Linked DNA regions of Drosophila melanogaster. The protein of the gene in region 4 interacts with the protein of the main gene of each other region in a biochemical or structural test. Each region holds a gene or a part of one and is shown on either strand. Other genes may lie near its edges. The genes, in order: deltaTry, Ubqn, gammaTry and Rpt3.

The links.
Region 1: of the proteins of Rpt3 (region 4) and deltaTry, one has a biochemical effect on the other in vitro, tested with the Drosophila melanogaster proteins (one study listed by BioGRID).
Region 2: the proteins of Rpt3 (region 4) and Ubqn form a complex in vitro, tested with the Drosophila melanogaster proteins (one study listed by BioGRID).
Region 3: of the proteins of Rpt3 (region 4) and gammaTry, one has a biochemical effect on the other in vitro, tested with the Drosophila melanogaster proteins (one study listed by BioGRID).

The regions. Positions count from the first base shown.
Region 1 is NT_033778.4:11,353,415-11,359,334, forward strand, and holds deltaTry (deltaTrypsin), read left to right. Parts: upstream 1-1,904; 5' UTR 1,905-1,918; coding exon 1,919-2,680; 3' UTR 2,681-2,714; downstream 2,715-5,920. Other genes in the region: CG30025 (uncharacterized protein), read right to left, coding at 184-945; CG13202 (uncharacterized protein), read right to left, coding at 2,752-2,851, 2,913-3,058; iotaTry (iotaTrypsin), read left to right, coding at 3,329-4,087; CG12384 (uncharacterized protein), read right to left, coding at 4,702-4,857, 4,922-5,010, 5,544-5,589.
Region 2 is NC_004354.4:19,682,160-19,692,394, reverse strand, and holds Ubqn (ubiquilin), read right to left. Parts: upstream 8,588-10,235; 5' UTR 8,395-8,587; coding exon 8,299-8,394; intron 7,956-8,298; coding exon 6,485-7,955; intron 6,406-6,484; coding exon 6,329-6,405; 3' UTR 4,737-6,328; downstream 1-4,736. Other genes in the region: Mer (merlin), read left to right, coding at 1-94, 154-363, 461-697, 760-1,563; CG14227 (uncharacterized protein), read left to right, coding at 3,470-3,701, 3,770-3,812, 3,879-4,063, 4,132-4,532; dome (domeless), read left to right, coding at 9,425-10,235.
Region 3 is NT_033778.4:11,344,832-11,352,193, forward strand, and holds gammaTry (gammaTrypsin), read right to left. Parts: upstream 5,040-7,362; 5' UTR 5,025-5,039; coding exon 4,263-5,024; 3' UTR 4,230-4,262; downstream 1-4,229. Other genes in the region: alphaTry (alphaTrypsin), read right to left, coding at 1-261; epsilonTry (epsilonTrypsin), read right to left, coding at 446-1,216; betaTry (betaTrypsin), read left to right, coding at 1,511-2,272; CG30031 (uncharacterized protein), read left to right, coding at 5,996-6,757.
Region 4 is NC_004354.4:11,121,157-11,129,105, reverse strand, and holds Rpt3 (regulatory particle triple-A ATPase 3), read right to left. Parts: upstream 4,006-7,949; 5' UTR 3,794-4,005; coding exon 3,758-3,793; intron 3,684-3,757; coding exon 3,600-3,683; intron 3,542-3,599; coding exon 2,420-3,541; 3' UTR 2,321-2,419; downstream 1-2,320. Other genes in the region: SrpRalpha (signal recognition particle receptor alpha), read left to right, coding at 132-248, 317-955, 1,043-2,131; CG11122 (uncharacterized protein), read left to right, coding at 5,508-7,949.

The DNA.
Region 1 (5,920 bases), on a different chromosome or scaffold from region 4:
TAGTCCTAAAAGCAGTCCCTTTACTGCTTGCACAACTCACTATATCTAATAGTCATTGCACTCGAACAGTCATTACCATCTAAAAATGTGAACCCTGTGTCCTGATTTTTAACTAAGACCATCTTTTAAAATAAACTGACGACCGTCATAAACTGTTCATATATGATTTATTTCGAAAAATAATTAGGCGTTGTTGATCACCCAGGAGCGGAGGGCAGCAACATCGGCATAGACACCGGGGTAGTTGGAGTAAGCGCATCCGTATCCCCAGGAGACAACACCGACGAGGACTCCGCCGGAGACCAGTGGGCCACCGGAGTCACCCTGGCAGGCATCCTTGCCGCTGGCAGCAGCGCAGATCATGGTGCTGCGGATCTGGCTACCGTATCCGTAGGTGGAGGAAGCACACTGGCTCTGGCTAACGATGTTCACGTTCACGTACTGCAGCTGGGAGGGGATGGAGCTGGATCCGTAGGAGAGAGTGCCCCATCCGGAGACGGAGGCCGCAGCGCCGTTGGCGGGGTTGGAGCTAGCCAGACCGATGGCCTTGATGGTGGAGCTGAAGGTCAGGGCGCCGTTGATCTTGATGATGGCAATGTCGTTGACCATGGTGTTGGCGTTGTAGCCCTCGTGGTTCTTGAAGGAGGACACAGAGAAGGTGACACCGCCGGAGCTCCAGTAGCTGGATCCAGCACGGATCTGCAGGACGGAAGCGGACACGGACTGCAGACAGTGAGCGGCGGTCACGATGACGTTGCTGGAGTAGATGGATCCACCGCAGGAGTGGCTTCCACTGCGCTGCAGGGAGATCTGCCAGGGGAAGCTGCTGATGGTGGTAGCAGAGCCGCCGACAATGCGGCCATCCAACTGAGGCAGGAGTCCCTCAGGGACGGTGCCTCCCAGGGCGCAGGCTACTGCAGACAACAAGATCACGAACTTCAGCATGGTGCGAATCCAATGAGTTGACTCTAAACTGGACACCCCTTTTATACGAGTTTCCAATCTGTTCTTGGCACTATAATCACAACTTTCAATTATTTTTATCACCTGCGTGTCAGGAAAACCCAAATAATACCGTTGAAGTGCCCAAATGATATTCCACAACTCAGAAGTCGCACGGCTCTTTATCACAAAAATAAATAAAAATGCGAGGAAAGTGTAACTACTTTTATATTACCTTTCTAAATAATTCGCTTTCTTTTTATTATATTTAATTTTTGCAAGGTATTGATGGGAACGTCTATTTTCGACTTACATATTTAAATAGGGGATTAAACTTGTACAATAACATTGTGGAATTTTTTAAAAGTGGATGCTTGTCATTCAACTTGATTTAGTTCTAATCTAATCCAATTATTATACATAATTGTGTGCATAACTATTAATATTATTGGCTTTTTAAAAGAAAATAACTGTTTAGCATTTTAATTTGTGAATTTTGTAAAACCATTAATTTTAAGAACAATTTAATCGCCTTTGCATTAATTTTAATTACATGATTATGCGTTCAATTGCATTGTTTTCTAGTAATGCTCATGATGTTTCTCATAAGTTATATAATTTCTTTTAAAAAATTATGGTGTCTGTTTATTTAAAACACAATAAATTGTTTATAGAAATATAAATTGTTTTAATTTCGTTTAAACCCCGATATCTTTATGTGACTATCTTTTTCAAGCTATTTAAATGACCAACTTATTGCAAAAAAAAATCGTTTGGCATGAATCTGGACTTTGTATACGTATATACTTCTTATTCGCGAAATCTATTTGTCGGTCACACATTTAAAAAATATTTTGGATTTCCCTGACAAGCAAGTGATAAAAATAATTGAAATTTATGATAAGAGCGCCACAAAGAGATAGGTCCCTGTATAAAAGGGGTGTCCAGTTTAGAGTCAACTCATTGGATTCGCACCATGCTGAAGTTCGTGATCTTGTTGTCTGCAGTAGCCTGCGCCCTGGGAGGCACCGTCCCTGAGGGACTCCTGCCTCAGTTGGATGGCCGCATTGTCGGCGGCTCTGCTACCACCATCAGCAGCTTCCCCTGGCAGATCTCCCTGCAGCGCAGTGGAAGCCACTCCTGCGGTGGATCCATCTACTCCAGCAACGTCATCGTGACCGCCGCTCACTGTCTGCAGTCCGTGTCCGCTTCCGTCCTGCAGATCCGTGCTGGATCCAGCTACTGGAGCTCCGGCGGTGTCACCTTCTCTGTGTCCTCCTTCAAGAACCACGAGGGCTACAACGCCAACACCATGGTCAACGACATTGCCATCATCAAGATCAACGGCGCCCTGACCTTCAGCTCCACCATCAAGGCCATCGGTCTGGCTAGCTCCAACCCCGCCAACGGCGCTGCGGCCTCCGTCTCCGGATGGGGCACTCTCTCCTACGGATCCAGCTCCATCCCCTCCCAGCTGCAGTACGTGAACGTGAACATCGTTAGCCAGAGCCAGTGTGCTTCCTCCACCTACGGATACGGTAGCCAGATCCGCAGCACCATGATCTGCGCTGCTGCCAGCGGCAAGGATGCCTGCCAGGGTGACTCCGGTGGCCCACTGGTCTCCGGCGGAGTCCTCGTCGGTGTTGTCTCCTGGGGATACGGATGCGCTTACTCCAACTACCCCGGTGTCTATGCCGATGTTGCTGCCCTCCGCTCCTGGGTTATTAGCAATGCCTAAAAAGTGTGCGAAATAAAACGTATATTCTGACTATAAACTTGGTCTTTTATTTTTATTGCGCAATTAACAAATTAATCCCGGGCCGCCGAGTTCCATAGTCGATTCTTCGTCTTAAAATTCGCCTTGTCGCCCTTGGTCACTGGACGAAGATGAGCCGCATCCACTATGTTCCTGATGGCAATTGGCTTACATGCATTTTTCAATTTGAGACATGTTTATTTGTATTGCTTACTTGAATTCTTCGTAGTTCTGAGTGCTATAAACAGCCCTAAGTTTGGCATCGTTGCGCAGTTCATAGAGTTCTCCATCACGGATGCACTGCAAGCAGCTCTCCCGCAGACGGATAAGCTCCTCCGCGGTTATCTTCCAGTTATCCATGTCGGTATTATCTCTCAAAAGTCCTTTTTTCGATATTCACAACATCTAAATAAATTTGTTTGGCAATAGTTGCCTGGGCAACGTGTTTTCATATCGAACTAGAGAACCGGGTAAGGAGCAGTGCTGACCAAGACCAATCAAGGGTATCAGTAATATATACTAACGATAAGCCATCAATTAGCCGAAGATTAACTTTTACAGCCCTAGTAAAAAGCACGCCATGAAGGGGTTTCGTGGACAAATACGAGCAGTTTGCACTTGGCTTTCGGAATGGCTGTTTACGGAATAGTGGCTACGGTGCTGGTCCTTTTGCTGCTCGGCGATGCGTCAGATGTCGAGGCCACTGGACGAATTATTGGCGGAAGCGATCAGCTGATTCGTAACGCCCCCTGGCAGGTGTCTATTCAGATCAGTGCGCGCCACGAGTGCGGCGGAGTCATCTATAGCAAGGAGATCATCATCACAGCCGGACACTGTCTACATGAGAGATCCGTGACGCTGATGAAGGTGCGTGTGGGTGCACAGAATCACAACTACGGCGGCACATTGGTTCCTGTGGCGGCGTACAAAGTCCACGAGCAGTTTGATTCCCGCTTCCTGCACTACGACATTGCCGTGCTTCGTCTGTCCACACCACTGACCTTTGGCCTCTCAACGAGAGCCATCAATTTAGCCAGTACGAGTCCATCGGGTGGAACAACAGTCACTGTCACGGGTTGGGGCCACACTGATAATGGAGCCCTCTCCGATAGCTTGCAGAAGGCCCAGTTGCAGATCATCGATCGCGGAGAGTGTGCCTCGCAAAAGTTTGGCTACGGTGCGGATTTTGTGGGCGAGGAAACAATTTGCGCTGCCAGCACTGATGCAGATGCCTGTACGGGAGACTCTGGAGGTCCTTTGGTGGCCAGTAGCCAGCTGGTGGGCATTGTATCCTGGGGTTACCGGTGTGCGGACGACAACTACCCCGGTGTCTATGCCGATGTGGCGATTCTGCGACCTTGGATAGTCAAGGCGGCCAATGCCATATGAACAGATTTTGGAAAATAAAGACCATGCTTAAAAAAGTTTAAGAATGCAACTCCATTAATATTCGCCCCCCAGGTGGAATCGAACCACTTCGACGCAAATCGACTACGGATTTGAAGTCCGCACCCCGGACCACCGAAGTTCAGTGGGGCATTTAGTGTGCTAGAGTTTCCCTAATTATATACACGTTGTGCTGAATAAGCACTTGGGAATTTTAAGAGTACGTGTAGAGCAAATTCCAGTAGATCTGAGGGCAATATAGATAACATCGGAAATCACGAATTTCATGTATAGTGTTATATGTCTTCTTTGGTCAATGTTTTATCGCATCCAAGCTCACCAGGAACACCACGAGTTGGTTTAGGTAAAAATTTAAGATATACGCATTCGAAACGAATGTCTTGAAATCTATAAAAGGGATAAAGTTTATTACAAAATATTAACTCAGAAAATCAGCATTTTTAATTTATGGAATGCAGTGGCAAATGCATATATAAAATTAAAGAGTAAATATCGCATTCAAAGGCGATTTCAATACCATTGAGAGGACTCATAGAATTTCAACAAAAGATCAAAGAGATTAGATAATGATAATAGTTATTCCGCCCGAGTACGCATCACTTCCGTGGCTGCTGGATGTGGATCTGGGGCTTCTGCTGCACTGCAGCCGGTGGCTTGGGCGAGTGGGCCACCTGGGCGGAGGCGGGCGTAAAGTCCGTGTTGCCCTTGACGGGGGCACCGCTCACAGAGCCGGAGTTCACGGCAATGGGTTGCTTTAAAGGATTAGAGGATAAGTTAGTTTCCATTGAAAACCACATACTTATGTCAATAGCTCACTGTCAGTCCAGTACAATCCTCTGCATCCTTGGGCGCGCGTTCTGCCGTCGGCGCTTTGTGCTGCACAATTCGCATGCCACCAGCCTTCACTATAATTAAATAACAAAAACATATAGGGTTGGCAACAAATGAGGCTTGGCCACAGTAGCCGATTCAAGCCGTGTTTACGTAAAGCGGCTATTAAAAAGTAAGTAAGCCATACTAGTCGTCCAAAGTTGACATGTTATTATTTACATTGTACGAAGATGATTAAGTCAATGGCATTTTATAAACGTTAAGGATAAAATATAAGGCGTAAAAAGCTACTTTAAAAAGTAATAATTTCCTATTCAGTTAACGTTATTGTTTGAATTGCACGTGACGTCAGCATAAAGTACAAATACAAACATACATTTCTTGAAAGCTATGCGTTTGCTTGCCTGTGTTCGCTTATTTGTTTACTTATCAGCTTTGGCCGAAACAGGTTAAGATACTGATAAGGGCGCAGATATTCTGGCAATTGATTTGATTGGGTGCATTATTGATTGCCAACAAGGCAGTTTGTTCTTATAAGATTCAATTGCTGCCAAAAATCGAAAACTCGTCTGCATCGACACACACACACCAATGCAAGTGCACTTACATGCAGGTGGGTGTCCGGCCACAAGATTTGGTTGTTCATCTGCCATTTGTTCTGGTTTAGTAAGCTGAGGGTCGGAGAAGTTGAATAAATTAACGGCTTGTGCACAGTTAACAACAAAATGAGACCTTACCGCTTTTCTAGTTGTAAATAAATGCGCGGCACCGCTGTGTTTTGCTTTTGCGTTCTAATTGTGACACGTCCGACTGTTGTCTATCGAATTTTTAGCCTTTTCTCACTGGATGCGCAGTTACTCATCGACTGCTGCAACGCGTTCTCACTGCAAACATTTTCACAAATAGTGGTACACGAAATACAACTAGAATTTATTTTATTGCTCGATGTTTTTGTGTAACATGTTTTCTGTATGCAAACTAATG
Region 2 (10,235 bases), 8.6 Mb from region 4:
CCATGAGCCCATGACGCGCGACGAGGTGGAGATGGAGTACCTGAAGATTGCTCAGGACCTGGACATGTACGGAGTAAACTACTTTCCTATTACGGTGAGAGCCTTGATTTTCACGTGGCGCATCTGAATCTTATCGTTTGTGTTCCCCACCAGAATAAGAACAAAACCAAATTGTGGCTGGGCGTCACCTCCGTGGGCCTAAACATCTACGATGAGCGCGATAAGCTAACGCCAAAGACAACGTTCCAGTGGAACGAGATACGGCACGTCAGCTTCGACGACAAGAAGTTCACCATTCGCCTGGTGGATGCCAAGGTTTCGAATTTCATCTTTTACTCGCAGGACCTCCACATCAACAAAATGGTAAGGAGGGCAGTTGTGACAACTGAAATATGTATATGTATTTTCACTATGTTCATGTTCCCATATTCATACTACACTTGCATCGTGTGCTTTGCAGATTCTTGACCTGTGCAAGGGCAATCACGATCTATATATGCGCCGCCGCAAACCCGACACCATGGAAATCCAGCAGATGAAGGCCCAAGCCAAGGAGGAGAAGCAACGCCGCCAGATCGAACGCAAAAAGTTCATCAGGGAAAAGAAGCTGCGCGAAAAGGCGGAGCACGAGCGCTACGAGCTGGAGAAGAGCATGGAGCACCTGCAAAACGAAATGCGCATGGCCAACGATGCACTTGTAAGACTCACTCCGCCCAGTGGCTTCTGATCTATAATATTGAGTTTCTCCCTGTATCCCAGCGGCGTTCCGAAGAGACCAAGGAGCTGTACTTCGAAAAGAGTCGTGTCAACGAGGAGCAGATGCAGCTGACCGAGTGCAAGGCAAACCACTTCAAGACGGAAATGGACCGGCTGCGCGAGCGACAAATGAAAATCGAGCGGGAGAAGCACGACCTGGAGAAGAAGATTCGCGACGCCGACTTCTATGTCCACCAGCTGACGGTGGAGAACGACAAGCGGGAGGCCGAGACTGAGAAGCTGCGCAAGGAGCTGATCTGCGCCAAAATGGCGGAGCGCGAGGCCACCGCTCGCCTGCTCGAATTCCTCAACAGCGGCCGCAAGTCCTCCACGGATAGCCTGCTGACCGCCTCCAGTGTGTCGCACGCGGCGAATACGGCGTCCAGCATGGCGGCCATCAGCACACCCTCCCTGATCACAAGCAGCTCAACCAATGATTTGGAGACCGCCGGCGGCGCCGAGCTGACCACCCACTCGTCACACTACCTGGTCCAAGGTGACAACTCCAGCGGCATTTCGGACGACTTCGAGCCCAAGGAGTTCATACTCACCGACAACGAGATGGAGCAGATCACCAATGAGATGGAGCGCAACCACCTCGACTACCTGCGCAACTCCAAGCAGGTGCAAAGTCAACTGCAGACACTGCGCTCCGAGATCGCGCCGCACAAGATTGAGGAGAACCAGAGCAACCTGGACATCCTCAGCGAGGCGCAGATCAAGGCCGGCGAAAATAAATACTCCACGCTCAAGAAACTCAAGTCCGGCTCGACCAAGGCGCGTGTCGCCTTCTTCGAGGAGCTCTGACCTCCTCCGCCTCCGCCTCCTCCGTCACCTACTCCCCCCTCACCCCCGCATCCGCCGACATGACTAATACCCCATCTAGCTGTACGATACGTTACGATTTGGCGTGTGTGCCTGTGCGCGTGCTAGAGTGTATGAGTGCCTTAACCGTAGTTGTACTATATCCTACTATAACATACTATATTTAATGTTTTTCGATTGTTCGCTCAAGCCGCTGCTGTAATAAACCAATTGCAAACGTACATATGTACATACATATGTACATATATGATTTTACATTCACTTACGCACGAAAAATATTCATAAAGTAGATGGGCGATTAGATACCGTTATTTTCGGTAGAAGATATTCAACACCTTCCATGCAGTTCCACAATTCATCGCTCTTGAGAAACATCACACCCTCTCACCGACACCGACTCTCTCGAACGCGATCTCTCTCTTCCAAAAATGAAAACTAATAAACCGCAAAACAGAATCAAAGGACGATTAAAATGCGCTCAAACAACGGTGATCAATAGCGAAGATTTGGCGCTCTTTTGACTTTGTCAGTGTGTTGATACCTTCCCTGCAGTTCCCCAATTCATCGATCTTGAGAAACATCACACTCTCTCACCGACACCGACTCTCTCGCGAGCGATCTCTCTCCCAAAGATGAAAAACCATAAACCGCAAAACCCAAAACCGCTAAAGCAGCGATGAAAAAACGCTGAATCAAAGGACGATTGGCCCGTTAAAATGCGCTTAAACAACGGTGATTAATAGCGATGTTTTTGGGATTTTTTTTTCATACCGATGATTTCCTAAAACATGCCAATGTTAAAATCACCGGTAGCTTTCGTGCAAATTGTGCGGTGTTTAAGCGCTCAACATTTTTAAAAGAGCGGTGATTTACCGATTAAAAGTCGGTGACTGGAACTGCAGGCACGGATTTGTTCTAGTTAAGTCTGAATGTTAATTACGATATTCTTGAAGCTCCCTCCTATTCCGCTGAGCGTGGTCGGTTTACGGATGTTATCCCAGAGACTGTGGATGTCCATCCGATTCCATGGTCTCTTAGTTCTGTTGCCATATATTTTCTGTCAGCTCGTTTAAATACATATGTACATATGTACATACATACATACAACTATGCAAATCGGAACGAAAATGCTGTCTTCCTGCAGTGTATCCTATAGCTAAAAAAATAAAGTGGCGCAAATTAAACGATTGGATTTCTATTTATTTATTATAATTTTTCAAGATTTCAGACAAAGGAATTGCATTTTAATTGAATCTGACTATAGATATGTATGTACCTGTAGACTATAGATTATGCCTAACGTTTAACTGCAAGGGTACTTAATCCTTTAACTTGGCGTGCACGGCGTTAAAGGAAATTTCCCACTCGATATGATAGACGGATCATTCAAAGGTATAGGGTTTCAGATCCGAAGAGTACTCCGGACTCGTTCGCACCATCAGTGTATCTTTGTCTAATTCAAGATCTTCAAAGGGTGTTTCTACCCTATACACCTTGTTATGTTCCGTTATTACGCGGAGTAATTATAATAAGAGAACTTTATTTAAAGTTTAAATAACGGTAAAAACTTAATATTAGATATTAAATAAACGAAATGTCATAGTTCAAATGAAAATGTATGTTATCCATATTGATTTCTGCTATTCCATTTAATTGAGTGAATCAAAAATCCAAAATTAATCAATTTTTTATAAGAAATAAAAGTGATTAAATGTATGGATATAGATGTGGCATGTGTTCCAGCCAAAATTTCATTGAAGCACGCGTAGAACACAGCCCAATTTGCAACTTTCGCAGAAGTGAGGAACTTGCGATAAGTGAGTGTCAAATTTATATAATAAAAACCCAATGGCACGAAGTTCGGTTTCCATTCGGGCCTCGAGCTACAATGAAGAAAGTCATAGCGGCACTCCTGATCCTCTTTGCCTCTCTATTTCTCGGATCCCGAGAGGGATCGGCTTTCCTGCTCGACGCGGAATGTGGAAGGTCGCTTCCAACTAACGCTAAGCTAACTTGGTGGAATTACTTTGATAGCAGCACTGACATACAGGCCAATCCTTGGATTGTTTCGGTGATAGTGAATGGCAAGGCCAAATGCAGTGGATCGCTCATCAATCATAGTGAGTGTTTGTGCCAAATGATGAGTGTCTTATTTAGCTCACGCAAGGCTAAATTTTAACCATTCCAGGATTTGTTTTGACAGCAGCACATTGCGTATTTAGAGAAGCCATGTAAGTCCTGCCCATTCGCCAGCATATGTGGTGGTCATCAGCCCATTACCCAATCTCTCCCTGTAGGCAGGTGCACTTGGGTGATTTCGACGCCTGGAATCCTGGACAAAATTGCAGCTCGGGTGCTCGCTTATCAAACGCATACTGCGTTCGGATCGACAAGAAGATCGTGCACGCCGGATTCGGCAAAATACAAGCCCAACAGTACGACATTGGCCTACTCCGGATGCAGCATGCGGTGCAGTATTCAGGTAATTGAGTGGGAGATATCCAGTCGTTGCCCTCGAAAGTCTCAACCAGAACTGCCTTTCCCCTATAGACTTCGTGCGCCCCATTTGCCTGCTCATCAATGAGCCAGTGGCGGCCATCGACCGATTCCAGTTGACCGTCTGGGGCACCACTGCAGAAGACTTTCGCAGCATACCACGGGTGCTGAAGCATTCCGTTGGGGATCGTATCGATCGCGAACTCTGCACCTTGAAGTTCCAGCAGCAGGTGGACGAGTCGCAGATATGCGTCCACACCGAGACGAGCCACGCATGCAAAGGGGATTCCGGTGGCCCCTTTAGCGCAAAAATTCTCTACGGGGGCACGTATCGCACCTTCCAGTTTGGCATCATCATCTTCGGCTTGAGCTCCTGTGCGGGCCTAAGTGTCTGCACCAATGTGACTTTCTACATGGACTGGATCTGGGATGCTCTGGTTAACTTGTCGGCATGAGGACATAAGTTATAAGTTATAAGTGTATAAGTTATTATAAACGTTTAAGCTGCAGTAAAGATTTGGAATAGCAATTAGAAAGTACTGCTTACTAAAACTAAGCCAGAGTGGGTGAGCTGCTTTATTTCGGATGCCTTTGGAAGTAAATGAGATAGTAGAGAGTAATAGACGAGGTTGGCTATAATCTAAAACCAAAGTAGCTTTATTACGTTTTCAAACATGTGATCATTTACATTTAATTACTTTGCCTCACTTCCTTCACTAAACAAATAAACGTAGTTCCACTAGTCCACTAGCCCAACTGACCAACCAACAACCCGGCCAGCCAGCCAGCCGGCCAGCCAGCCAGCCGGCCGACCAGCCAATCCCACAGCGGACGAGCGAGGCTATGTGGTGGTAGCACTTACAGGGTATACACTGAATCCATATCTTATATAAACGGTGAGCGCGCGAAGGAAAGCTTTTCGAAAGTGTGTGTGTGTGTGATTGATCGGAAATGGGAACCCAAATGGTCGGTTATAGGTTTTATATACGAAAGCTTAGAGTAAATTACATTACAAGTTATTATTGGGGCTTCCTCTCTTTACTAAGGAGTTGGTTTTTTTTTTTTTTTTTTTTTTTTGTTTTATAGTTTTACGTCTTTTGTTAACACCTTGGAATATTTTGATATATATATATATATGTATATACATATATATATACCTATATACACACATTAACTTACAGTAGATATCGTTAGCATGCAAATCGCTTGTGTGCAACAACTTTTTACATTTGTATTCCTCTGAACGGGATGTGGGATAAATAACGCTTGGAGATTGCTCTTATATTAACGAATCGATAAACATTTTGATTGACTACAGCATACTCGCGCGTATGTTAGGATTCCCCCAAGACAGTGTCGTCTTTGCATATAGCCGATATCTACTGTACGTTTGTCCTGTTTGCAGTTGTTTGCAATTTCCAGAACGTTTTCCGATCGCGAGAAATGGAGGGGGGGGGGAGTCAGAAGGACTGCGGCTATAGCCCACGCCCACTAGCACCCGACTAAAACTAAACTGCCTGACCAGAACACAGGATATATACTACGCCTCTGATCTCTGTACCGATTCTTTTTTCTTAAACACAAAACTGGAATTCGCATCTGTTGGCGACAAAATAGTTATTACATTATCAATGACAAAAGTGCACATTCCCGCTTAACTTTATTGAAAATTAACGAAGTTCTCCGATAAAGAAATGCGTTAAGTATTTCGATTGAAGTTGTTGGGCGTGCAAAACTATGCATTACGTGAGCAAAGTATGCATATTCAAGTTGGTTTTCGGCTAACGCATTTCCGCTTAAAGGATTCTCCGAGCTCACGAAATGTAAATTATTTAAAAAAAAAAAAAATCTGATATCAACTACGAAAGTGCTAACACTTTGGTATGCGATCCCTATCTAACATTCTCACCGGCGTCATTCATATCACCCACCTATATCTAGTATCTCTCCGATCTCGAGGCAACTATGCTCGTTTGGAGCCATCTTTTTGTGTCTTGGGGGTGTTGGTATGTTGGCATGTGGCTATGATGGATTCCTGACATTTCCGGCTTGATGGGGAAACAAGCGATCAGCAGCGCTGACCGTGGAATTTTTTGGCGGAGGGTGTGTGTTTGGGTTTAGGACCTGTCCTCCTAACTAGTCGTGTTCTCATTCGCGTTCTCCAGGGCCGTAGTGGTATATATAGTAGTTGTAGTTCGTAGATATATAGACAGGTTGTGTACAGTTTGGTTATGGCTATGGCTTAGCCTTGTTAACTCAAGGACAACTGGTTGAGGGACAGCAGTCGCTCTACCGCCGCATTGATGTCCCCGAAGGTAGCGATCAGAGCTGCAAACCAAACACAAGAGAGCGGATTAGAATCATCGCACAGGGCAGGCGACCCACCAAGACCCACTAGGACACTCACCCTGCAAGTTGGCATCACGGTTGACAAAGCCCATGGCGTTCAGCTGCTCCAGCTGCGACTGGTAGCGCACCTCCGGCGGCTGTGTGTTGTCCGCGTTGTTCGACATCCCGTTGAGCATGCGCATCATGAAGTCGTTGAAGAGCTGCGCGTTGGGACCACCGCCCGGGGCCAGGTTTGGAGTGCCGGTGCCGGCGTTGAGGCCGCTGCTTGGCGAAACATTGTTGGTGCTGGCACCGCTGTTGCCCCCGCTCCCATCGCCGCTGGCTGGATTCGTTCCGGTGCCGGCACCCGGTGGTGGCGGTGGAATGCCCAGGGTGCCAACGAGACCTGGGGCCGCGCTGCGCAGCTGCTCCATGCCCTGCTGGATCTGCAGGATAGCGTTCATTGCATCCGGATTGGTCAGCATGTTCATCACCTCGGGGTTCTGCATTTGGGCCATAAACTGCGGCATCATCTGACGCACCTGCTCCTGCAGGGCGGGATTGTTAGACATGAGCGGACTGCTGCTCAGCAAGCGCGCGGCCATGTCCGGGTCCTGTGACATGGACTCCATCATGGAACGCGTGTAGGGCGCGTTCAGCAGGTTCTGCATCATGGCTGGATTGTCGGCCATCTGCTGGAGCAGGCTTCGCATGGCCGGCGTGTTGAGCACATTGTTCGGCGGCAGATCCCCCGTCGGATTGCCGGCGCCGGAGCCACCGACTGTTCCATTGGTTCCCGAATTGGCACCGCCCCATGGATTCGGCAGGGGATTGCGGTTCTCGGTGCCCTGCTGCGGGTTGTTGCCGGCTCCTGAACCGCCGCCGTCGACCAGGCCGGCAAAGGGGTTGCGACCAAAGGATTCCGTGGCCGCGTTCATCATTGGCTCCTGAATATCGCGGTAGATGCGCTGCAGGGCGCTATAGCCGCCCGGCACCGACTCCAGATTCGACATGGCGCGGTCGTGCGAACGCATCAGCTCCTGCAACATCGAGGGATTGCGGGCCAGCTCCATCGTCTGGCGCAGCAGGTCCGGATTGTTAAGCATATGCGAGATCTCGGGGTTGCGCTGCATCAGGTCATGCATTTGCGGATTGGACGTGATAAGCTGACGCATGGTATCCGGATTATTCATCATCTGCTGCACCATCGGGTTGTCCATCAGGGAGCGCAGCATGTCGCCATTGTTGAGCAGCTCGTTCTGCATGCGCGCCTGCAGATCCATGAACGTGTTCGATCCGGCTCCAAGTGCCTCCATTCCGGCCAGGCCACCGAATTGATTGAGGCCAAAGGGCGTTTGGCGCACGTCAGCCGGCTGTCGGGCCGGCTGCTCGTTGTTGCGCGTCGGCGCCTTAATCACCAGATGCACCGTCAGGTTGTCCTTGATGTTGTGCATCTGAAGGGTGTCCGTGTCCTTCATAATTTTGCCGGCAAAAATGAGCACGAGCTGCTCGGGCTCCGCCTCGAACTTTTGTGCAACCAGAATTTTGAACTGTGGGGCGAGAATGGTGTGATTGTTGTCATTATTATGTGCCCATGGTCTAGTTTCCCCTTTCAATTAAATGTTCGCTCCCATGCCTCTGCTTCAATTTATGTGTGTTAATGGGAAGAAGACCAATCACTGTGCAAAGTGCACTGTACCAGCTGCGCGTGTTGTGTGCGGCTTAGGCAAAGTGCACTGTACCGCGATTACGGGCACTAATTTCCCAATACTTTCGGGGGTGTGGGCAAAGAGCAGGGAGGGAGGGAGGTGGTCCATCGCTATGAATGGAAGGGTCCAGAAGGGTTTGGGGTACCAGCAACCAAGTCAGGCGGGTCACGTGCTCCGTACTCACATCTTTTATTCCAGAATCTTCGTCAACTTCGACCGTTTTCTTGTCCTTTGGCGTTTTTACAACCACGTTGATGCGCTTGCTGCCGCCTTCCGCCATTTCGATGGTGTATTTGCGGTGTTCTCGTTTAGCTTAATTTGCACCGATGTAGCTGGTTCTTTCGAGATGTTATCACGTCTGTAATTTAAATGTGTTCCGAATATATACGTGTTTTCACCCTAAATTATTTCCCATTTGATGAAAAGTAATTCGTCACTTTCTCACTCACACGGACACACACACACTCACGATGGATTTCGATTTTGACTCTTACACACGCCAGGGCTGACGTATCAACCACCAATCGATGAATCGATAGCGGCCAATTGAACGCTTTGAACGCGTCCAAAACCGCTGCCAAGTAGTTTGCTCTGCTTGAAAACGTATTCGGCAGAGGGCGTTCTAGAGATACAAGCAACGGGTGGCCTAGAATTCGAATTTCGGCTGAAATGCGATGTTTGGCACCTATCGCATTTAGTGGGGCCGTTCGTCGACAGGTAGCCCCAGTGATATCGCATATCGGACTGCGATAACTTTCGATAAGCGGTCACACTGCGGACAAGCAACTCGTCGACAACATATATCGTCAGCATCGCGAGCGGGGGCAGGGAGGAGAGCGATCGCCTTAGCCAACTGAGGATTCTGCATTTGCGAGAGAGCCAGAGACAAAACAGTAACACGGTACCACAGTTGCTCGAAGCGAGCAATTGGCATTGCAAGGCCCTGATAGCCCTATTCGTAATTTAGTCGTAGTGAAGCCCCGGACAAGAAGCCCACACCTGGGCAGTGAAATGTTTAAGAGCCACTTCCAGGAACGCAGCGTATAAACGGTTTCCGAGAACTGGCCACCAATACACAGCCAACAAGTGCGAGGCCAACAGCAAGGTGCTCTTGTGTGTGTGAGAGAGCGCCGTTTTGGTGTGCGCGCGTGTGTAAGAGCGAGAGAGAGACAGAAAGAGAGGAAAAGAGCTAAAGACAGAGAGACAGAGTGGGAGAGAGAGAGAGAGAGAGCCAGAGTAAACCTTAACAGCAAGGGAAGGAGGGGATTAGGATTAGGATTAGGATTGGGAGCAGAACCAGGACCAGGAAGATGGTGGCCCAGGAGCAGCTCGTCCTGCTGCTCATGCTGCTTGCCGGCTGCCGGGGTGGCGCCAACGCCATCTTGGATCCTGGCTGGGTGATTCCCTCCAAGGTGGAGCAGCTCATCGGCGGCGACTTTAATCTGAGCTGCACCCTCAACGAAGACTACTTTAACGGCAAGAGCGCCGAGGACTGCCCGGTGGAGAAGCTGTACTTTACAGGCGGCGGCCGCGTCTACCGCGATTCCAAGCACATCCGAATCCTGAACAACACCACCATCCTGTTTAGCGACACGAATGCCGTGGAGCAAGAGAACGACTACCACTGCATGTGCGACGAGTATGTGATCAACAAGTCAAAGGTCTACGTGGGCACCAGGCCGCTCCTGGTGCGCGACTTCAACTGCCTGGACTACGACTTCCAGTTTATGGTGTGCAACTTCACCCAGCCGCCCAACACGGTCATCACCAAGTACAACATCAGCTACAACACCAACAACGACTGGCGATATAGCAACACACTGGACTGCAACTTCGACTCGGCGCCAGTGGTCACCTGTAACCTAACCGACGACAACTACAAGCGCTTCAGCGAGACCTTCTACTTCCGACTGTCCATCTCCAATGCCCTGGGCCACGAGACGCAGCCGATCACGATCAATCACTTTGAGCGTCTGGTGCCGGCGCGACCTGGCCAGAACCTGACCCTGCTCAACAGGACCGAGAGCTCCGTGTGCCTGTCGTGGGAGATGCCCCGTCGGTCCAACTACAATCGCGGCCTGGTGTGGCAGGTGCGCGTCACGCCGCAAAACTTTGAGCCCA
Region 3 (7,362 bases), on a different chromosome or scaffold from region 4:
GGATCCAGCACGGACCTGCAGGACTGAAGCGGACACGGACTGCAGACAGTGAGCGGCGGTCACAATGATGTTGGCAGAGTAGATGGATCCACCGCAGGAGTGGCTGCCACTGCGCTGCAGGGAGATCTGCCAGGGGAAGCTGCTGATGGTGGTAGCAGAGCCGCCGACAATGCGGCCATCCAACTGAGGCAGGAGTCCCTCAGGGACGGTGCCTCCCAGGGCGCAGACCACGGCGGACAAGAGGATCACGATCTTCAACATGATGGGCGTTGCTAACAAGTGCTGGCTTACATGCCGCCCGTCCAACCTTATATACAGCCCACGCTACAATTCTTATCTAGCCGCAATTTCGAGGGCTTTACACCTGCGACGCAATTGGGCCCAAATAGAGAAACAGATATCAATGCTGATTCAATTGCGATTTATTTCAAGTGTTTGTCTGGCTTTACACCTCCTCGGCGGTCCTCTCGATCCACTCGTGGAAGTGGGCAACGTCGGCGTAGACACCGGGATACCTCACATCACCGCATCCATAGCCCCAGGACACAACACCGACAAGGCGGTCTCCGGAGACAAGTGGGCCACCGGAGTCACCCTGGCAGGCATCCTTGTGTGGGGCGTAGGCGCAGAGCATGGTGTCCTTGATCTTCTTTCCGTATCCGAACTCATCCGAGCGGCAACGCGACACATCGATGATCTCCAGATCAACGGCCAGCAGATGATCGGGAATGGTGCTGCCACCGGACTCGGTGGTGCCCCAGCCGGAAACCACGGCGGTGGCGCCCTCACGAGGGTTGGAGTCGGCAATACGGATCTCGCGAATGCTGGAGCGGAAGCTCAGATCGGACTCGATGCGAATAATAGCAATGTCGTTGACCATGGTGCGGGAGTTGTAGCCCTCGTGGTTGCGGAAGGAGCGAACGGAGTGGACACTGCCGCCGGAGCGCCAGTAGGTGCTGCCCACACGAATCTTCAGGTCCTTGGCCTCAATCGACTGCAGGCAGTGAGCGGCGGTGATCACAATGTCGTGGGAGTAGATGGATCCACCGCAGAAGTGTGATCCATAGCGCTGCAAGGACACCTGGTAGGGATGGGCGTCGATGCTGGTCTCATAACCACCGACGATACGACCATCCAACTGGGGCAGCAGGCCATCGGGAATGGTGCCAGCCAAGGCGCAGGCCAAAACGGAAAGAAGTACCGCGAATTTCAACATTTTAATCGTTTGTATGCTGATTCGCGGATCAAAACCCCTTTTATACAGTCCCCGCGGCAAATATCTCCACTTGATTGACAGCTGCAACTTCAGCATAATTGTTGCGTCATTTTCACCATCGATATAGGCGGTGATATTTAGAAATAATCAGCTTATCACACGACGACCACTCCACATCGTTATCCACTTTAACCACGAGGAATCTCACTTGTCCATTGATTAAACGCCTCCCGAGATAGTGACCCCCGATATAAGCACACTTTTCGGTTCGAAGAGTATCCATTCAATCGCACCATGCTGAAGTTCCTGATCCTGTTGTCGGCTGTAGCCTGCGCCCTGGGAGGCACCATCCCCGAGGGTCTCCTGCCCCAGTTGGATGGCCGCATTGTCGGCGGTACTGCTACCACCATCAGCAGCTTCCCCTGGCAGATCTCCCTGCAGCGCAGTGGCAGCCACTCCTGCGGTGGATCCATCTACTCCGCCAGGGTGATCGTGACCGCCGCTCACTGCCTGCAGTCCGTGTCCGCCTCCTCCCTGCAGATCCGCGCCGGATCCAGCTACTGGAGCTCTGGTGGCGTCGTCGCCAAGGTTTCCTCTTTCAAGAACCACGAGGGTTACAACGCCAACACCATGGTCAACGACATCGCTGTGCTCCATCTGAGCTCCTCTCTGAGCTTCAGCTCCACCATCAAGGCCATCGGTCTGGCTAGCTCCAACCCCGCCAACGGTGCTGCTGCCTCCGTCTCCGGATGGGGTACCGAGTCCTCTGGCTCCAGCTCCATTCCCTCCCAGCTGCGTTATGTCAACGTGAACATCGTCAGCCAGAGCCGGTGCTCTTCTTCCTCCTATGGCTACGGAAACCAGATCAAGAGCTCCATGATCTGCGCTTTTGCCAGCGGCAAGGACTCGTGCCAGGGTGACTCCGGTGGCCCACTGGTCTCCGGCGGAGTCCTCGTCGGTGTTGTCTCCTGGGGATACGGATGTGCTGCCGCTAACTACCCCGGTGTCTATGCCGATGTTGCTGCCCTCCGCTCCTGGGTGATCAACAACGCCTAATTATTTTTCGAAATAAATCATATATGAACAGTTTATGACGGTCGTCAGTTTATTTTAAAAGATGGTCTTAGTTAAAAATCAGGACACAGGGTTCACATTTTTAGATGGTAATGACTGTTCGAGTGCAATGACTATTAGATATAGTGAGTTGTGCAAGCAGTAAAGGGACTGCTTTTAGGACTATGGAAATTGATTGATTGGATTTAACTATCCCCATATTCTGTTAGAATGCCCTAAGGATTATTAGCGTGATTGGAATTGTAAACAACTAGGCATTATTAAGAAGCAAACTTGCGCAATGTAGTCGTAAATAAAACATGCATTTTTAACTACAACTTTAAAGCTCTATTAGTTTTCCAAGACTGTACGTTAGGCGGATAGGGAAATCTAGATCATGATCAAGAAGAATATGAATTTTATAGGCTCGATACGCATCATTCTACATAAGACTTACTTTATAACGATATATTCGTAACCATTTTATTTTTATACTCTTTACTCGTAGAGTAAAAGTGTATAATAGATTCGTTTAAATGTATCTAACAGCTACAAGTTAGTGTTTCCAATCATATAATGTACATATATTCTTGATCAGGATCGATAGCCCCATCCGTCTGTCGAGTTTCTTAGCAACTATAAAAGCTAGAAGCTTGAGATTAGGCATACAGATTCTAGAGACATAGACCCATATTTCCCCTTTCCCCTCCTCCCCTCCCTCCCCTCCCACAATTTTGAAAAATATTTTGATTTTTTTTCACATTTTTATTGTTTTGTAAATTTGTATCGATTCGCCAAAAATATTTTTGCCACGCCCACTCTAACGCCCACAAACCAATCAAAACTTTTTTTTCATTCATTCATTCATTCATTTCATTCATTAATTTCATTCATTCATTTCATTCATTAATTTCATTCATTCATTTCATTCATTAATTTCATTCATTTCATTCATTTCATTCATTTCATTCATTTCATTCATTTCATTCATTTCATTCATTTCATTCATTTCATTCATTTCATTCATTTCATTCATTTCATTCATTTCATTCATTTCATTCATTTCATTCATTTCATTCATTTCATTCATTTCATTCATTTCATTCATTTCATTCATTTCATTCATTTCATTCATTTCATTCATTTCATTCATTTCATTCATTTCATTCATTTCATTCATTTCATTCATTTCATTCATTTCATTCATTTCATTCATTTCATTCATTTCATTCATTTCATTCATTTCATTCATTTCATTCATTTCATTCATTTCATTCATTTCATTCATTTCATTCATTTCATTCATTTCATTCATTTCATTCATTTCATTCATTTCATTCATTTCATTCATTTCATTCATTTCATTCATTTCATTCATTTCATTCATTTCATTCATTTCATTCATTTCATTCATTTCATTCATTTCATTCATTTCATTCATTTCATTCATTTCATTCATTTCATTCATTTCATTCATTTCATTCATTTCATTCATTTCATTCATTTCATTCATTTCATTCATTTCATTCATTCATTTATATCATTCATTCATTTCATTCATATCATTCATTCATTTCATTCATTCATTTTCACTGTGGAGTTTCTATCGATATGCCAGAAGAAAGATGCTAGTTCGTTCACCCTGACACTAGCTGAGTAACGAGAGTATCTGATAGTCGGGGAACTCGAATATAGCATTCTCTTTTGTTAAAGAGTAAGTTCGGTTAACATAAGTTAAACTATGTAGTAATTGATCGAAAACGGGTACCTCAACAAATTACCTTTAATTTATTAAAATGATTTAAACCATTATTAACCTCCCGACAGAAATCTAGGTGTTTGTTATTTTTCAGGAGGTGAGAATACATTTTTTAGAAGGTTTCCTTTCCCATTTGCTGAATAAGACACATTACTGTTGAATCAGTAATAGGTCAAAACCACAATGAAACATAATAAAAGTAATATCCAAACTGAAATTTATTTCGCATACTTCTTAGGCATTGCTAATAACCCAGGAGCGGAGGGCAGCAACATCGGCATAGACACCGGGGTAGTTGGAGTAAGCGCATCCGTATCCCCAGGAGACAACACCGACGAGGACTCCGCCGGAGACCAGTGGGCCACCGGAGTCACCCTGGCAGGCATCCTTGCCGCTGGCAGCAGCGCAGATCATGGTGCTGCGGATCTGGCTACCGTATCCGTAGGTGGAGGAAGCACACTGGCTCTGGCTAACGATGTTCACGTTCACGTACTGCAGCTGGGAGGGGATGGAGCTGGATCCGTAGGAGAGAGTGCCCCATCCGGAGACGGAGGCCGCAGCGCCGTTGGCGGGGTTGGAGCTAGCCAGACCGATGGCCTTGATGGTGGAGCTGAAGGTCAGGGCGCCGTTGATCTTGATGATGGCAATGTCGTTGACCATGGTGTTGGCGTTGTAGCCCTCGTGGTTCTTGAAGGAGGACACAGAGAAGGTGACACCGCCGGAGCTCCAGTAGCTGGATCCAGCACGGATCTGCAGGACGGAAGCGGACACGGACTGCAGACAGTGAGCGGCGGTCACGATGACGTTGCTGGAGTAGATGGATCCACCGCAGGAGTGGCTTCCACTGCGCTGCAGGGAGATCTGCCAGGGGAAGCTGCTGATGGTGGTAGCAGAGCCGCCGACAATGCGGCCATCCAACTGAGGCAGGAGTCCCTCAGGGACGGTGCCTCCCAGGGCGCAGGCTACTGCAGACAACAAGATCACGAACTTCAGCATGGTGCGAATCCAATGAGTTGACTCTAAACTGGACACCCCTTTTATACAGGGACCTATCTCTTTGTGGCGCTCTTATCATAAATTTCAATTATTTTTATCACTTGCTTGTCAGGGAAATCCAAAATATTTTTTAAATGTGTGACCGACAAATAGATTTCGCGAATAAGAAGTATATACGTATACAAAGTCCAGATTCATGCCAAACGATTTTTTTTTGCAATAAGTTGGTCATTTAAATAGCTTGAAAAAGATAGTCACATAAAGATATCGGGGTTTAAACGAAATTAAAACAATTTATATTTCTATAAACAATTTATTGTGTTTTAAATAAACAGACACCATAATTTTTTAAAAGAAATTATATAACTTATGAGAAACATCATGAGCATTACTAGAAAACAATGCAATTGAACGCATAATCATGTAATTAAAATTAATGCAAAGGCGATTAAATTGTTCTTAAAATTAATGGTTTTACAAAATTCACAAATTAAAATGCTAAACAGTTATTTTCTTTTAAAAAGCCAATAATATTAATAGTTATGCACACAATTATGTATAATAATTGGATTAGATTAGAACTAAATCAAGTTGAATGACAAGCATCCACTTTTAAAAAATTCCACAATGTTATTGTACAAGTTTAATCCCCTATTTAAATATGTAAGTCGAAAAAAGACGTTCCCATCAATACCTTGCAAATTAAATATAATAAAAAGAACGCGAATTATTTAGAAAGGTAATATAAAAGTAGTTACACTTTCCTTGCATTTTTATTTATTTTTGTGATAAAGAGCCGTGCGACTTCTGAGTTGTGGAATATCATTTGGGCACTTCAACGGTATTATTTGGGTTTTCCTGACACGCAGGTGATAAAAATAATTGAAAGTTGTGATTATAGTGCCAAGAACAGATTGGAAACTCGTATAAAAGGGGTGTCCAGTTTAGAGTCAACTCATTGGATTCGCACCATGCTGAAGTTCGTGATCTTGTTGTCTGCAGTAGCCTGCGCCCTGGGAGGCACCGTCCCTGAGGGACTCCTGCCTCAGTTGGATGGCCGCATTGTCGGCGGCTCTGCTACCACCATCAGCAGCTTCCCCTGGCAGATCTCCCTGCAGCGCAGTGGAAGCCACTCCTGCGGTGGATCCATCTACTCCAGCAACGTCATCGTGACCGCCGCTCACTGTCTGCAGTCCGTGTCCGCTTCCGTCCTGCAGATCCGTGCTGGATCCAGCTACTGGAGCTCCGGCGGTGTCACCTTCTCTGTGTCCTCCTTCAAGAACCACGAGGGCTACAACGCCAACACCATGGTCAACGACATTGCCATCATCAAGATCAACGGCGCCCTGACCTTCAGCTCCACCATCAAGGCCATCGGTCTGGCTAGCTCCAACCCCGCCAACGGCGCTGCGGCCTCCGTCTCCGGATGGGGCACTCTCTCCTACGGATCCAGCTCCATCCCCTCCCAGCTGCAGTACGTGAACGTGAACATCGTTAGCCAGAGCCAGTGTGCTTCCTCCACCTACGGATACGGTAGCCAGATCCGCAGCACCATGATCTGCGCTGCTGCCAGCGGCAAGGATGCCTGCCAGGGTGACTCCGGTGGCCCACTGGTCTCCGGCGGAGTCCTCGTCGGTGTTGTCTCCTGGGGATACGGATGCGCTTACTCCAACTACCCCGGTGTCTATGCCGATGTTGCTGCCCTCCGCTCCTGGGTTATTAGCAATGCCTAAGAAGTATGCGAAATAAATTTCAGTTTGGATATTACTTTTATTATGTTTCATTGTGGTTTTGACCTATTACTGATTCAACAGTAATGTGTCTTATTCAGCAAATGGGAAAGGAAACCTTCTAAAAAATGTATTCTCACCTCCTGAAAAATAACAAACACCTAGATTTCTGTCGGGAGGTTAATAATGGTTTAAATCATTTTAATAAATTAAAGGTAATTTGTTGAGGTACCCGTTTTCGATCAATTACTACATAGTTTAACTTATGTTAACCGAACTTACTCTTTAACAAAAGAGAATGCTATATTCGAGTTCCCCGACTATCAGATACTCTCGTTACTCAGCTAGTGTCAGGGTGAACGAACTAGCATCTTTCTTCTGGCATATCGATAGAAACTCCACAGTGAAAATGAATGAATGAAATGAATGAATGATATGAATGAAATGAATGAATGATATAAATGAATGAATGAAATGAATGAAATGAATGAAATGAATGAAATGAATGAAATGAATGAAATGAATGAAATGAATGAAATGAATGAAATGAATGAAATGAATGAAATGAATGAAATGAATGAAATGAATGAAATGAATGAAATGAATGA
Region 4 (7,949 bases):
TAGCTATCGAGCGCGCTGCCATCGCTAGGCAAGTGACGTGGAACGTGTGGCAACTTTTGATTTGATGCAAATGCAATGCGAGTAGAGTGCGTTGTTGTTGAAAGTGACGACGGATCGGAAGCGTAGCTAAAATGTTGGACTTTGTGGTGATATTCACCAAGGGCGGAGTGGTGCTGTGGCACTCGAACGCGTCCGGTAACAGTTTCGCCTCCTGCATCAACAGCCTGATACGTGGCGTCATTCTGGAGGTAAGTGCATGCACGGATTTGGTTGTGAATGCACCAATGGACACTAATGTGCTTTTGTGCGGCTGCAGGAGCGCAACACAGAGGCCAAGTACTACGAGGAGGACCACCTGGCCGTGCAGTTTAAGCTGGACAACGAACTGGACCTGGTCTATGCGGCCATTTTCCAGAAGGTGATCAAACTGAACTACCTAGATGGATTCCTGGCCGACATGCAGGCGGCCTTCAAGGAAAAGTACGGCGACATACGTCTGGGCGATGACTACGACTTCGATCGCGAATATCGACGCGTGCTCAGCGCCGCGGAGGAGGCGTCCGCCAAGCAAGTGAAAGCACCTAAAACCATGCGCTCCTACAACGAGTCACAGAAATCGAAAAAGACCGTCGCCTCGATGATACAGGACGACAAGAAGCCGGTGGAGAAGCGGGTGAACATCCAGGAGGCCCCGCCACCATCCAAATCACAGCCGTCGTCGCCACCGACGGGCTCCCCAATGGACAAGATCATCATGGAGAAACGGCGCAAGCTGCGCGAAAAGCTCACGCCCACCAAGAAGACCTCGCCCAGTGATTCCAAGTCCAGCAAGCCCGAGAAGGCCGGCAAGAAGCCACGCGTCTGGGATCTGGGCGGTAATTCCAAGGATGCCGCTCTGCTCGATCGCTCCAGGGATTCGCCCGATGATGTGCAGTACCAGAACATCAACAGCGAGGTGAGTACTAACTTTCACTTTCCCCGAACGCGACTCGCATTCAAAGTGAAATCACGAACTCATTATTATCATTTTTCATACTCGCAGCTGGTGGGCACAATGCAGGGCGTCATCCGCGACTTGGATGTGGAGAGCGAGGACGAGGCTGACAACGAGGATGCATCCTCTGAGGGGGAGGCCGAGGAGCAGGTGCAGTCAAAGAAGGGCAAGCGCGGTGGCCTGCTATCCTACTTCAAGGGCATTGTAGGCGCCAAGACCATGTCGCTGGCAGATTTGCAGCCGGCGCTGGAGAAGATGCGCGACCATCTGATATCGAAGAACGTGGCCTCTGAGATAGCAGCTAAGCTGTGCGACTCGGTGGCCGCCAGTTTGGATGGCAAGCAAATGGGCACATTCGACAGCATCGCCAGCCAGGTGAAGGAGGCGCTCACGGAATCGCTGGTGAGGATACTATCGCCCAAACGGCGCATCGACATCATACGCGATGCCCTCGAATCGAAGCGCAACGGCCGCCCGTACACGATAATCTTCTGCGGTGTCAATGGTGTCGGCAAGTCCACCAATTTGGCCAAGATCTGCTTTTGGCTGATCGAGAACGATTTCAACGTTCTGATCGCCGCCTGCGATACGTTCCGAGCCGGTGCCGTCGAGCAGTTGCGCACACACACACGCCATCTGAACGCACTGCATCCGGCGGCCAAGCACGATGGACGCAACATGGTGCAGTTGTACGAGAAGGGTTACGGCAAGGATGCCGCCGGCATTGCCATGGAGGCCATCAAGTTTGCCCACGATACGCGAGTGGATGTGGTGCTTGTGGACACCGCCGGACGCATGCAGGATAACGAGCCGCTGATGCGTTCCCTGTCCAAGCTAATCAAAGTGAACAATCCGGATCTGGTGCTATTCGTGGGCGAGGCACTGGTGGGCAACGAAGCCGTCGACCAGCTGGTCAAGTTCAATCAGTCGCTGGCCGACTACTCATCCAACGAGAACCCGCACATCATCGACGGCATAGTGTTGACCAAGTTCGATACCATCGATGACAAGGTGGGCGCCGCCATCTCCATGACCTACATAACCGGCCAGCCAATTGTGTTCGTGGGCACGGGTCAGACGTATGCCGACCTAAAGGCCATCAATGTGAACGCCGTGGTCAATTCCCTGATGAAGTAAGCCAGCCGTCGATCCGGCTATCCTTCCAATGCTCCTTGTTTGCATCCACTCTTTTCACCGAATCAAATATATGGCTTTTGTCTAGTTTGTTGTTGCGTAAATGGAATGCTTTGCCCACTGTTGGCTGTTGGTTCGTTTAGGATTAAGGATCGCTTGGCACTTCGATTACAAGTTGTTTTGTTTTTTTTTATTTTTTTATTAATGTTTATAACTTTATGCGTACAAAGAAGAGTTTAGTGTGTTGGGGGAAAAAATGGGGCGGGAGTAGTGTGTATGAATTAATATAATCTATTTGTAGAACTCGTGCTCCTGCTCGTCCTTCTTGATATTGTTCTTGTAGCCCTTCTCGAAGTCCTTGGCCAAAACGATGTAGCGATTCTCACGCACCGCGTGCATGCCCGCCTCTTGGCAAATGGCGTTGATATCGGCACCGGAGATCTTGTCCGGCCGCGCCACAAACTCCTCCAAATCGACATCCTCGCTTAGGTTCATCTTCGAGGTGATGGTGGAGAAGACGAGTCGCTTCTGCCGGCGATCGGGCAGCGGGAACTCAATCTTACGATCCAATCGACCAGGTCGCAGCAATGCCGGATCGAGTGTGTCCGCCCTGTTGGTAGCCATGATCACCTTAACGTTCGTGGTCTGATCGAACCCGTCCATCTGGTTGAGCAGCTCGAGCAGAATGCGCTGCACCTCGCGATCGGCGCCAGTCTGCGCATCGAAACGCTTCGTGGCAATCGCATCGATCTCGTCAATGAAGATGATGGCCGGCGCGTTCTCCTTGGCCAGCCTGAAAACGTCGCGCACCATGCGCGGTCCCTCGCCGAGGTACTTCTGCACGAACTCCGAGCCGACGACGCGTATGAACGACGCCGTCGTATGATGGGCCACCGCCTTGGCCAACATGGTCTTGCCGCAACCGGGCGGACCGTACATAAGCACGCCGCGCGGCGGATCGATGCCAATCTGCTTGTACAGCTCGAAGTGGGTCAGCGGCAGTTCGACTGCCTCGCGGATCTCCTGCTTCTGCATGTCCATGCCACCAATGTCCGCATAGCTAACGTCGGGCTTCTCATCCGGCTGCAGCATCGAAATGGAGCTATCCGCCTCTGGTGGCAGCACGTCCACCAGCGCGTTGCTGTGCTTGTGCAGGGCCACCGAGGCGGAGGGCTTCAGCAGCTCGCGATCGATGGTGGACAGGATGCGCACATAGTAATTGGAGCCGGTGGTGGAGCCCACAATGCCCGTGTTCTGATCGACGGCCTCCAGGAACTGGCCAATCACCAGCGGCACCGACTGGATGCGCTTCACCTCCTCCTGGGCGTGCAGATACTCCTTTTTCAGGTTTCGCTGCTCGTCCTTGATGTACTCCTCCTGCACTTCAATGAACTCCAGTGTCTTTTGCAGTTTCTACAACACAATGGCCGCTTAGATGGGTGATCAAATGGAAGACCAGTGGACGACTCACCTTGTAACGCACGTAGAGATCCTCCATGTCCAGTTCGTCCAGGGAACTGTGCGCATCTTTTAGCTTCAAGTCGGAGAGCTCGTCCTGGTGGAAAAAGTGGAATTGGGAAAGAGGTAATTAGTACGCATGCCAGGCGGCGCAGAGAGGCAACTACGCACCTTTTCCGGTATCAGTACGTCCATGTTGTACGGCATTCTTTTCGTTCAGCAATGAGTCTCGTTTTATTAGTTTGCGTTTTCTGCGAGGCGACCAAAATGACTCGTCAAAAACAAGCCAGCAGTGCGTTGTGGTGGCAACCCTGTCCGCAATCGATTGTGATCTATCGATGGGGCCATTTATCTATCAAATTGTGCTGCTCTTTCAATCGGTTTTTTTTTTCGATATATACTCTTTCTGATAAGAAAGCAACTCCTCTTTATTGGACAATATCCTATACCAGTTAGTCTGTAAAGCTAAAATGTTGTATACAAATAAATCTAATATCACATGTCATGTTTCTCACTTAATATCCGGAAAGTATTTTTTAATACGTTTCAAAGCATCTGGTGATGGGAAAAAATCAGCTGTCTGATAATTGCCCGATATATACCAGCTCTGATTGGAACAAAAGCTGATAACAGATTTATTACTAACAAAAACTATTTCGAATGCAGATCGCTTATAAGTAATTGATAAAATCGCAAGTTATTCTAAGCAATTCACGTAGAACCATGCCAAAGTATCGCTGCTCGAGACGCAACTATCGATAGTTCGAGTACCTTTCTCGCCAGCGGGTACAAGTGTGTACACACTGGCAAAACCCGACCATTTTGACGCGATTTCGATTTCCCATAAGAAAAAAAAAGAGTAGAAAAACACACACATTTAACATTTCGGTCGCTCCTGCTGCTTCTGTGTGTGCTATGTGTGCGTGTGCGAACGAACCAAATATATACACACACGAGCGCTGGTAGGACAGTGAAATCGAATTTGCTGTTTATATAGCACAATTCGATGGCTGATAATGCCGCCGCCGTCGCCGAAAAATCGTTTCCCCAATATCGCTAGCATCAGAACGGGAAAGAGAACGGGTACGAGTACGATTCCGATTCCGATTCCGAGTACGTTTCCCACAAAGTATCGTTGTCGTTGTCGTCGTTGTCCTGCTGCCGTGCCCCGCCCCCTCTGGCCGCGCCGCCGCCCCCTCTGCGCCGTACGCACGCATCGATTTGGGCTAAACGTTAGATACCTCCTAACGCAGTTGTTAGGGTGGAAAGAACGGCCAGGGAAAATTGAATGCGCTACACTGGTGGTCGAGCTGCTGCAATGCCGTGCTTAAATTTAAGTGCAAGGCACTGATACGGATCCGTTGGCGCTCCTGGTCTGGTCCGTATCCAAGCGAAAAGAACAAAATATACAAGAAAAAAACAAGAAACAAAACAACAAAACGGAAAGCAATCCCGTGAAATCCCGGAATACAGTGCAATACAACGAACCGAAACACAGAACAAAACGAATAGAACGAAACAAAACGAAACGTATTTAGATACGCAGGAGAGACCAAGTCGGGATATCCAAGTGGACAGTGTGGTCTTGTGCAGTGGAGTGGTAGTTATGCTATATATAGCTGTTGGCCAAAACAATAGTGTCCGATAACAGAGCGAGATCAATTCGAGGAGTTGAAAATGTTTATTGTATAATTTCCAATTGAGCAGGTGTGCGTGCGAGTGTGTGTGCGTACGTGTGTGTGAGTAGTTTTTGTTTTTCGCTGCTTCTTCTTGCGGTTTATTTGTCAACAAAAAGAAGAAGGAAGAACGAAGCAGTGTGCGTGCAGCAGTAAATTGTTGTCCGCACACCCCGCACTGCTTGCAGGAGTGGCGAAGCAGTTAACTTGTGCAACGCAACCACGGACGACCCAGTGGCCTCCACATGAAGACCATGTCGCGCTTCGGCCTGCGCCGTGGCTTCAAGTTCTCGGAGGAGCAGGTCAACGGCAAGAATCCAATTGGACCGGCAACGGCACCAGCCACGGCCGCTGCCTCATCTAATCCGCGCAAAAAACGACAGACCCGGCAGGAGGAGGATGTGGACGCGGAACAGGAAGAGGTGGAACCGCACGAGGATCAGCTGGAAGCGGAACAAGAGCCGCTCTCGCTGATCTGCAGCCTGCCGCTGGAGCGGCTGCCCCGTTTGGTGGAGAAGCTGCATCAGATGACGGAGGAACGGGAACGAGAACGGGAGAGGGAGCGCGAGCGCGAGCGGGAAGAGGCCGCCGGCCTGGGTGGAGCCGCGCACTCGAAGGTCCTGTGTCTGTACTGTGATAGGAAGTTCGCCTCCGGCAAGCTGCAGGCCAAGCATGTGGACAAGTTTCACACCGAGCGGCAGGAACGACGCTGCAGCGGTCGTTCCACCAGCTCCAATTCTCATCCCGCCGGCGGCTTCCCCGGCTGCCAGTGGTGTGGCCAGCAAGGCAATCGCCGCCAGGCCACGCCCCCGCAGATCTGCCTGCCGGCCAAGCATTTGGAGCAGCTATTCCAGCACCTCAGCGAGCAGCATGCAGATAAGTATTTCGCCTGCCAGCCGTGTCGCCTGCGGTTCCAGGACGCAGATCACCTGTTGGGACACCAGCGCCAGCAGCATTCGCTTCATCATCCGGAGGATGGCCATGCCACCAAACCGGGTCTGATGGGCGCCGACGAGCCGGTGCTCTTTCGCCTCGGCCTTACCCAGAACCGTCTGCCCAGCCATCGGAATCGAAACCAGCGCAAGGAGGAGGAGCCGCCGCCCCTGGCCACGCCCAGCAGCAAATCCCGGAGCAGCAGTCGGGCGGCGACGCAGCGACAGCAACAGAATCAGCATCAGCATCAACAGTCGCAGTCGCATCAGCAGACTGCTGCAGCGGGTAACATGGCTCTGCAGGAGTCTGTCAATCCGGATGCAGTCTTCCGGCTGCCAGCCAGCATGGCCTGCGTCTCATCATCCGCCTCCGTCGCCAACTCAGTGTTCGATGACAAGTTCTACAAGGATGTGATCTCTAATGTACGGCACAACCTCCAGAATCACCTCGACGGACGGCTGTTCACCTCGTCTTCGACGTCCACAACGTCAGCCACATCGTCGTCCGCATCCCATAAGTCAGACCTCATTATGCTGCACGGACCCAGTCAGCTGGGGCCTGGCGGCGCCTCCTATCCCACTCTACTGACCGCGGATCAATTTGGCGGCACGGGGGAACTGCTACCGCTGGCCAAATTCCGCCGGAGACCGCACACGAAGCACAGTTGGAAGTGGAAGTGGGACTACGTGAAGAAGTTCACGCTGATCAACGAGGGCGGACGGCTGGTCAAGAAGCTGAAGCAGCCAAACTACCTGGGACTGCGCGATCTCTCCAAGTTGGACATGTGGACGCAGCTGACGATGCGGCAAAAGCACGATCTCTCGCTCTCATTGACGGAGGAGCAGAACCAGGAGCAGCGCCGCCTGCTGGAGCAGCTAAATCTCATCCTGGACCACCGCCTGCTGCCGCACATCATTCTCGAGCAGAACGAACAGGCGGTCATCAAGTGCGAAAACGAGGAGGAGGACGAGGGCCTGGACTCGCATCCCGGTGACGATCTGCTGCCGCAAACGTTCGCCGACGAGAGTTTTCTCTCCCTGCTGCAGCTCCAACCAAGAGGCGGGAGCAGCGAACAGGAACGACAGCGGGAGCGGGACCAGCGAGAGCGTAGCAGGAACCAAAAGGCCGTCGTGCTCAGCGGCGAGTGGGCACGGCCGCGTCTCTATTTGTGCATCTGTTGCGGCGCCAAGTTCGACCAGCGCAAGTCGCTGGAGGAGCACAAGACCTTCCGCCACTCGCACATCTACGCCACGCACTACGAGGTCGTGGGACGCGAGCTGCTGGCCGGCAATCTGTTGCGCCACCTCTTCATCCCGAAACGGGCGCTGGGTCGCTTTGCCGCCGCGAGCAACTGCATCCGATGGCCGCAGATTGCGCCGGCAGCCACAGTGCAGCAGCCCAAGCAGGAGCAGGTGCAACCGGAGGAGGAGACCAGGTCGTCGGCCTCGTCACGCTCATCATACGAGGTGTCCACACCCACTCCGCTATCGGCACTGGAGCAGCAACAACCATCACCTGCTTCGGGATCGGGCAATGCGTCTTCATCGTCGTCCTGTTCGCCCAGCTCATCATCCGCCTCCACGCTGCTGTCCACCGCCACCCGCACCTCGATGTCCAACTCCACCTGCACCTCCTCCGCTGCCACCACGACGGTGTCGTCCACCTCGTCCGCTCCTTCCAGCTGCACCAAGTGCGGTCGCAAGTGCAGCGGCCTCATGGATCTCTATCGCCACATGCTGGACTGCTCCGGCGAC